2 linked regions of the Xenopus tropicalis genome follow. The protein of the gene in region 1 purifies or fractionates together with the protein of each later gene. This does not show direct contact. Links are inferred from orthologs where the notes say so. Each region holds a gene or a part of one and is shown on either strand. Other genes may lie near its edges.

Region 1 (4,324 bases):
AGCGTATCCCATTCATTCGGGTGCAGGCACAAGTAGCAGGCGTAGGGCTGAATTTTCGGCAAGCGTTTTTTCCGCTTGCCGAAAAAATCAGCCCTACGCCTGGTGTGGCATCAGCCTAAGAACATACAAGATAAGGCAGATGTAATCCTTCCATTAGACCCTTTAGTTATACTACTCATCCAGGTGGAAGAACTGCCACTCAATAGAGCGCACCAAACTCTAATTCTTACCTTATGCATGTTTGCTAAAAATACAATAGCACTAAACTGGAAAGCAGCCAGGGGCCAGGGGATCAGATATAGGAGCACGGGAAAGGACACACGGGAGATAAGTCACGCCGTGACAAATCTCCAGTTCGGCGCCGCGTATGCCATCCCACCGGCGATTTACATTCTAGCCGGTGGGATGGCATTGCGGGGAGATTAGTCACCAGCGACAATGGAGGTTTGTCGTGGCGTGACTAATGTCCCATGTGTCACAGTCCTAATCATCCCCAGCCTTAGTGGCCCAGATCTGATCCCCCCCCAGGGCGCTCCCGCAATCCGCCGTCTCCCTTTAGGGCTCTGGCACACGGGGAGATTAGTCGCCCGCGACAAATCTCCCTTGTCACGGGCGACTAATCTCCCCGAACTACCATCCCACCGGCGAACATGTAAGTCGCCGGTGGGATGGTACACGCTTCGCAGGCGATTTCGGCAAATCGCCAAAGTTGCCTCGCGAGGCATTTTCAGCGATTTGCCGAAATCGCGCTGCCGTGTGTGCCATCCCACCAGCGACTTACATGTTCGCCGGTGGGATGGCAACACAGGGAGATTAGTCGCCCGTGAACAGGGAAATTTGTCACGGGCAACTAATCTCCCCGTGTGCCAGAGCCCTTAGAAGCGCTCGGGTGTTGGGGGCCTCGGCAGGGGGGGTGAAGGCGGCGGGGACCATTGGGATGTAGTGGCCCCTGAGGCAGAAGCCCCTGCACCCCCCAGTCCGACCCTGTTAATAAAAGATTTAAAAGAAAAAAAATATATATATATATATCAATCAGCAATTTAAGTTATATTACTGATTTCAACAGCTTGCAATCACCAGCAGGGTTGGTTTTAATGTCAGGCAGACAATAACACCCTTATGGTAAAAACCTTTTCACACTTGCAACTCTCCACCTACTGCGTAACTACAACTCTCACAACTCACAACACGATTTTGGGCATTTTTGGACTAATTTACCTAAATCACTAATTCCGCACATGGATCCCACCCCCCCACACTTGGAATAGATTGTAGACTAAACTGCGATACTCTATTTATGCATTTGAACGGTTTGTTGAGGGATTGCAGAACTTGAGGCAGAAACTATTTTCTGCTCAGTCAGAACGTTTTTCGCCTGTCACAGTTACTTCAGAATGTCGCTGTGACGCGCTTCCGCTTCCGGTACAGTCTCCAGCTTGGAGAAGATGGCGGCTCCAGAGCAAGAAGCTGAAGTGCCAGGAATAGACAGCGAGTTGTTGGCCTGCTGTGCCGGGGAGGTGGCCTTGGTACGTGGCCGAGAAAGGCCAGGGGTCCGTCGGTACTTGGGAATAGTTTCCCCGGTACCGCTGTGTGTTTGCAGCTGGTGTAGAACCAGACTGTACCTGTCCAGGGGAACTAGAAGCTGCCAGCTAGGGGTACAGCTGTTCTCCCTGTCATATGTGTCTGTAACGGTGTAAGCACACACATACCTCCTTAGCAGTTTGTCGCCTACTAGCACTTGTACTACAATTCCCAGCATGCACCACAGACTGGTTTCTCGCTGGACGAGGTATAATATTAACATCAACAGTTAGAAAGCGGTAGATTGCACTTATCTCATTAACACAGATGCACAGCTGACTGAGTCTGTGTACGTTTCTTTATATGCACCACTACAATTCCACAATTCACTTAATATGCTATAAATAAACCACCACAGTAATTGTTTTATATAGTTTATTATATAATATATATATATCTGCAGTATAGGCCAGCACTCACAGGACTTCTAGGATTATGACTTCAGACGAATAAAGATGTTTTTACAAGAGATCTTGAAGCATGGTTCCATAATAATAAAGAACCATGCTTCAAGATCTCTTGTAAAAACATCTTTATTCGTCTGAAGTCCTAATCCTAGAAGTCCTGTGAGTGCTGGCCTATACTGCAGTTTTTATGTATTTTTTGCATTAGCACCCAGGCATTTAACTCCTGGTTTGTGGCGTGCTACCATCTACATGGACTATATATATATATATATATATATATATAGTTATATAGTGTAGGTATTCCAGCTATTAAATATAAGCATATCTCCGCGCATATTGCTAATATTGTATTCTAGTCTGCAATAAAGACAGACATTTTAAATACTGTAATATGTGTAGATTGTAATGTATTTTATTTATAAATTGGGTTCTTCTAGGGGAAATATATTTGCAGTTTAAAAATAAAAAAATTAAAAAAAAAATGGCTTGGGATACTGTCATATAGGGGTATATTTATCACGCTGTGTAAAAAGTGGAGTGAAACATTACCGGTGATGTTGCTCATAGCAGCCAATCAGATGCGTTGCTTTGGTTTTCCAACTGTTGAAAACTAATTGCTGATTGGTTGCCCTGGGCAACATCACCGGTAATACTTCTCTCCACTTTTTGCACAGCATGATAAAAATAATAAAGAATGCCCATGGCAAACGAAGGTCCCCCCCCAAAAAAAAATCTGAGCCAGGGCATTCTGCATGGAGTGGTTCATGTGTCAATGAATTTGTATTATTGTGAGAGGCAGCTGTCATAATGCTCTGTAGAGTACAGTATAAAAGTTCTAATAAATTATAGGATTCTTGACTGGAATTTTGGTAGAATGTTTTTGCAACAAATTTTTTCTTACAGTACTTACCGGGAATACTAGTCTTACAGTACTAGTATTCCCATTAGAATAATGCACCCTAAAAAATGCCTTTTGCCCAGTACGGTATCTTGGCATGGTTGGTTTAAATTTAGTTGACGTTTAGTTATGTATATTGATGGTGGTAGTGGCATACGTGTTGATAGGCGTAGATGCTTTGCAGTAGTGTTTTTAGAGCCAGAGCTAATGGTCTTCCTGGTTTCACGACCTTGATGAACTCAAAGGCCTTATGTCATTGGTGTACCCTAGCTACTGTATCTATTTACTGTAAAAATAAATAACCTTTACTTTGTGATAAAGATATGTATGAGAAGAGGCAGGGCTGTGGATTTGAAAGTATAGAATAAATTATACATTTTTCAATGTATGCTCTTTTGATTATGTATAGGTAATTGTCAGTAGCAATTTAGTAATACAGTGATATTAGTTAAACCCTTGTCTACCCCCAGTCTCACTCAGCAGGGTCTTCTTGAATTCTATATTGCTGCAACCGTAGTGCAGGTTAAGCAACCTTTACATTTTAAAACCCAGACTCAGTAATTCCAGTGTTGTTCCCCTTATAGGGGAAGCTAGCGTGATAATTAAAATTTAGTTACGTCCCATGGAAATAAGAGACTTTAAATACGATCAGTATTCTATATTGTTTATGAAGCCGTGGAGGTGGGGTATGTCTTGGGCGCCATTTGCTTTAGGCTCAGCTTTCTGCTCAACAGGGCATAGAAATAAAGGGACAGATAGACGCTGCTTTTCAGTATACTTGTAAAACCACAGAATAACTTATTTCATTGATGCTGGAAAAGTGCTTAAAATGGCAATTTCTTTAATTAGGCAAAATGTTATTGTAGGATTTACATTTCCTTAGAAGTCCATGCACAATATTATTAACTAATGTTCAGTATAGAAATAATTAACTAAATAATAAACTGCACCTTTTATGGGCTCGGGCACAAGGGGAGAAATGCTCCCTGAAATGCCATCCCACCGGCGAAAGAGGAAACTTCCATGATTTCGGGGAAATCGCTGCACCGCGTAGTCTCCCCGTCTGCCAGAGCCCTAAGGGGACACATTCCTGCCTCGTGTTCTGCATGTTTAACCTCAGTGCTTACTTCATTCAGATTCTTATTGTATGTACTGTATTGTACAACTGCATTTTATCTTTAATGCTAATGATACAACCCATTATCTGATTTTTCCTAGTTTGGTCACCCAGATGGTCCTAATTTAGCTCATCTGATTGGTCCCTGAATCAGAGGCAGTGTCTGTGTAGAACTGTCAGATAGGACCATATTGACAGCCTTGTTTATCTTCAGTGTTACATGCTCTCTATTCAATAAGGCTAATGCCAGACAAGGCATAGGGCGGATATTTTCGGCAAGCGGAAAAGCGTTTGCCGAAAATACCGCCCTACGCCTCCTAC
Region 2 (4,219 bases), on another chromosome or scaffold:
AACATTATTCAGCAAAAACTCGAGTTACATTGTATGCAATGCTATGAGTCTCATTTTGGTGCACACTATGCCATTTACAACAATAGACATTCTGAAAAATCAAGTTTTCTTATCAAGTGGGTATATATACACACACACACACACAGGTATAGGACCTGTTATCCAGAATGCTCGGGACCAAGGGTATTCCGGATAAGGGGTCTTTCCGTAATTTGGATCTCCATACCTTAAGTCTGCTAAAAAATCAATAAAACATTAATTAAACCCAATAGGATTGTTTTGCATCTAATAAGGATTGATTATATCTTAGTGGGGATAAATTACAAGGTACTGTTTTATTATTACAGAGAAAAAGGAAATTAGTTTTAAAATTCTGAATTATTTGATTAAAATGGAGTCTATGGGAGACGGGCTTTCCGTAATTTGGAGCTTTCTGGATAACGGGTTTCCGGATAAGGGGTCCGATACCTGTCTTGGCAAAAAAATGATAAGTTAATTTAAGCAAAGAAATCCTTTCTTTGCTTAAATAAACTTATCATTTTTTTTGCCAAGTCCTGGTGTGTGCAGCTCACTGTCTTGCTTTATATATATATATATATATATATATATATATATATAGCGCCTAACTTCTAGCGCCATTTCTTCTATCTGCTTCAGTAGTAAAGTTGTGGCTCTAGGTAAGAATCGGAATTCCAGGTTTGTTTTGCATTTATTGTATTACATTTGAGCAGATTTGCTGGATGAGGGGGCAAACACATGTTATATGGAAGAAGTCAACTGGGTGGGTGTCACATCTGGGACAGTTCTCACCAGGGCATTTTTAATCACCAAAACCTATAGTAGGAGGAATACAAATAGAAAAAAAAAACCCTTCCGCTTAAACAAAATTGAAGGGAAGCCAAAACAGAAGCCGAGTTCTGAAATGACATAAGACTTTAAGAGCTTCACTGTGTGGCTGCTACAAAACCGGTATGGATGCTGTCTGTATATTTTATTAATAAGGTGCTACTTGTGTATGCATCACTAACAGGAGAACAATACACTAATAGGAGTTAATCCAAAAATAAAAACGAATAAATACAAAGCACAAAGTGATACTCAAGATTAAGTGCTGAGCGTTAAGGACCCAAGTGGAATGAGGTTCCCTGACATTCTTGCTTTATGATGCAATAAACTGACCTAAAAAAAACAATGTTAACAATACAAAGATGTTTGCCCAGCTAAAGATTATATTTATCTGTGCAATAATGTACGTTACAATAAATGGATGGACTGGATACTTTTTGCTTTTGTATTTCTAGCAGACATCAATATGTCATCAAATCACCAAAACCAATAAAACAAGTGATTGTGAAGTGTAGTCAATGTTCAGAATACCTTATCTACTAATCACATTGCACAACTGCCAAAAACAAAGCTGTGGACAACAATGCAGGACTAAAAATCCAATTAAGTAATTAAAAACATAAAAAAACATAATGCAAAAAATAAATAACTGATCAGTGGGGCCCATTTATAAACACCAGGCAATTCTGTACATGTGCAGTAACCAACAGCAACTAATCAACATTTTCTCTCTTTTTTTTTTTCAACCTGGTGAATAAAAACAAATCACTGGCTGGTTGCTATAGGTTTCTGCCCAGGTGCAAATTTGCCCAGGTGCAAATTTGCCCAGTATTGAACAGCACTCTGTACATTAAGTAGTTCTATATAAATATACATACAGTGTTGATCAATAATCCAATGTAAATGTATTGGTCAAAAAAGCTGATTCAGTATTCACAATGCAGACCAAATAGATTTTTATGTGCGGCCAAGCATGCAAGATAAAGCAAAATTGGAATTCTGGGAAAATGTGTTTATGTGTAAAGCCTTTTAAAGAGCTGGAAGGCAACTGCAGGACTGTACCAGCAGCAGAAATGGGGCAGATAAGGCTAAAGCTAATGATGACCAGCATTTCACTAACTGCCAGAAAACCTTTCAACCACATTGCTGGCAGTTCATATCTTTGGCTGAGGGTGTAAAAGGTGGCCAAACAGTACCTTGTACTTGAGCCTAAGGTATAATTAATCCTTATTGGAGGCAAAATAATGCTATTGGGTTTATTTAATGGTTAAATGATTTTCTAGTAGACTTAGGATATGGAGATCTAAACTACGGAAAGATCCCTTATTCTGAAAACTCCAGCTCCTGAGCTTTGCGATTAACAGGTCCCATCCCTGTATGTATTTTTGGATGTGGGTGAGGATATATCTTACAAAACAATACAGATAAGCACATGGCAGCATGGGGATAGAGGGGCCGGCTGCACTAGCACACACTGCCCACTATAACAGCCATAAAAAATACAAAAATAAACTTTACAGATAAAAAATAAAACCTAGCAAAAGTGAAATATAATTGTGGGGTCTACTATAACTCATTGGCCAACTGCTCTATGCTGCAAAGAGATCTTCCATACTGTTCTCTATAGATATTTAAGGAGATGAACTGGCCTAGTGCTTATAGCCAGCAAGAAGTGGGGTTTTGTGATTTTCAGTGTCCCTAACATCTTCCCTTTACGGGTACTGATCCACTGAACGCCCAGGAGGCCTCAGGTAACCCCCCATATGCTGCAAAACTACAACTTCCAGCATGCCAAGCGGGCAGAAGGCGAGAGGTGTAGTCCCACAAGAGCAGAAGCGCCGAAGGTTGCCTGCCCCTGCCTTATACACTAGTCGTGTGACTTGGTGGCGGAGTCGAACGGAACTCGCAGTGAAGCCGATGAGGGAAGGAGCCTGTAACAGCCCTACTCACCTCTTGAAGTCCCTCATCAGCCTCCTCCTGGCCGGGGTGGACATTGCCCCTGAATAGAAGCAGTACGGAGGGGGAAGGGAGGGAGCCCAAACCCGGCCGCCGCTAACTCAGCAACCCTGGCACAAACAAGCCGCAATGACGTTGCTCAGTGCTCCCAACATGGGGCTGGACCAGAACGTTTCATAGGACCGTACCAACTACACCGGAGAGGGAGATTCCGTGCTAAGCTGCCATTTTTGCAAAATGTTGCCCCGAGATTCACTGCGGAGTTTAATAGGAACATTTGTTTTTTATTGTGACGCGGCATGCCGTTTTCTTGGACGTGGGGCAGTGTGATTTATTGCTGACGATCACCCCTGTCATCCGTACGAATGGTCGCTTCCATAAGTGACAACTCAAAGTTCCTGAGGAGAAGCGTTGCATCATATCACGTGGTGTTTGAGCTCGGCTTTCCTGGGAGGGTAGCTTCGGTGAAAGTTGATGGTTCTGTAGAGTATTCTTTATAGCGAATAAAGTCTCTTACTGGAGATGCTACAAGTATGGTTCAGCACCACCAGTAGGCACACTGTTTAAACATTCCTGTTTTATATAGTCTGCAACTGAAAACTGCTTGGAAATTGTATTGCAGAAATATAGTCAGAGAAAGATATGGCACATGTGCCTGGGTTGTATGAATAACATGCACCATAATAAGTCACATTTATTATCAGTTTAATAAATATTTGTCTTCTGAAATGATTGTGGTAATACCCCAGGCTGTTAAAACTGGAAAGTGACCATAATGTAAATTTCAGAGATAGTAGTTCTTTTTAAAGAATGGGTTCTGCCAAACCATCTGCATATTTGAACACTTGGTAATCTCATCAGTTGCAATAGGTGATTATTGCAGAAATAGCAACTGATCACAATTTGCAGGGACTGTCTTAGATCTTGATATACAGAGGAGGAAATAATTATTTGACCCCTCACTGATTTTGTAAGTTTGTCCAATGACAAAGAAATGAAAAGTCTCAGAAGAGTATCATTTCAATGGTAGGTTTATTTTAACAGTGGCAGATAGCACATCAAAAGGAAAATCGAAAAAATAACTTTAAATAAAAGATAGCAACTGATTTGCATTTGAATTTTCATTGAGTGAAATAAGTTTTTGAACCCCTACCAACCATTAAGAGTTCTGGCTCCCACAGAGTGGTTAGACACTTCTACTCAATTAGTCAACCTCATTAAGGACACCTGTCTTAACTAGTCACTTGTATAAAAGACACCTGTCCACAGAATCAATCAATCAAGCAGACTCCAAACTCTCCAACATGGGAAAGACCAAAGAGCTGTCCAAGGATGTCAGAGACAAAATTGTAGACCTGCACAAGGCTGGAATGGGCTACAAAACCATTAGCAAGAAGCTGGGAGAGAAGGTGACAAC

Evidence for each region. The genes of interacting proteins can lie anywhere in the genome.
Region 2: the proteins of ubr2 (region 1) and ube2b purify together in Homo sapiens (affinity purification with western blotting; 3 studies listed by BioGRID, with this or other methods). This does not show direct contact. The link is inferred for Xenopus tropicalis from reciprocal best matches to the Homo sapiens genes UBR2 and UBE2B.

The regions. Positions count from the first base shown.
Region 1 is NC_030681.2:15,180,007-15,184,330, forward strand, and holds the start of ubr2 (E3 ubiquitin-protein ligase UBR2), read left to right. Parts: upstream 1-1,376; 5' UTR 1,377-1,445; coding exon 1,446-1,526; intron 1,527-4,324. UniProt on the Homo sapiens protein: E3 ubiquitin-protein ligase which is a component of the N-end rule pathway.
Region 2 is NC_030679.2:26,523,324-26,527,542, forward strand, and holds the start of ube2b (ubiquitin-conjugating enzyme E2 B), read right to left. Parts: upstream 2,944-4,219; 5' UTR 2,841-2,943; coding exon 2,797-2,840; intron 1-2,796. UniProt on the Homo sapiens protein: E2 ubiquitin-conjugating enzyme that accepts ubiquitin from the ubiquitin-activating enzyme E1 and transfers it to a E3 ubiquitin-protein ligase. In vitro catalyzes 'Lys-11'-, as well as 'Lys-48'- and 'Lys-63'-linked polyubiquitination.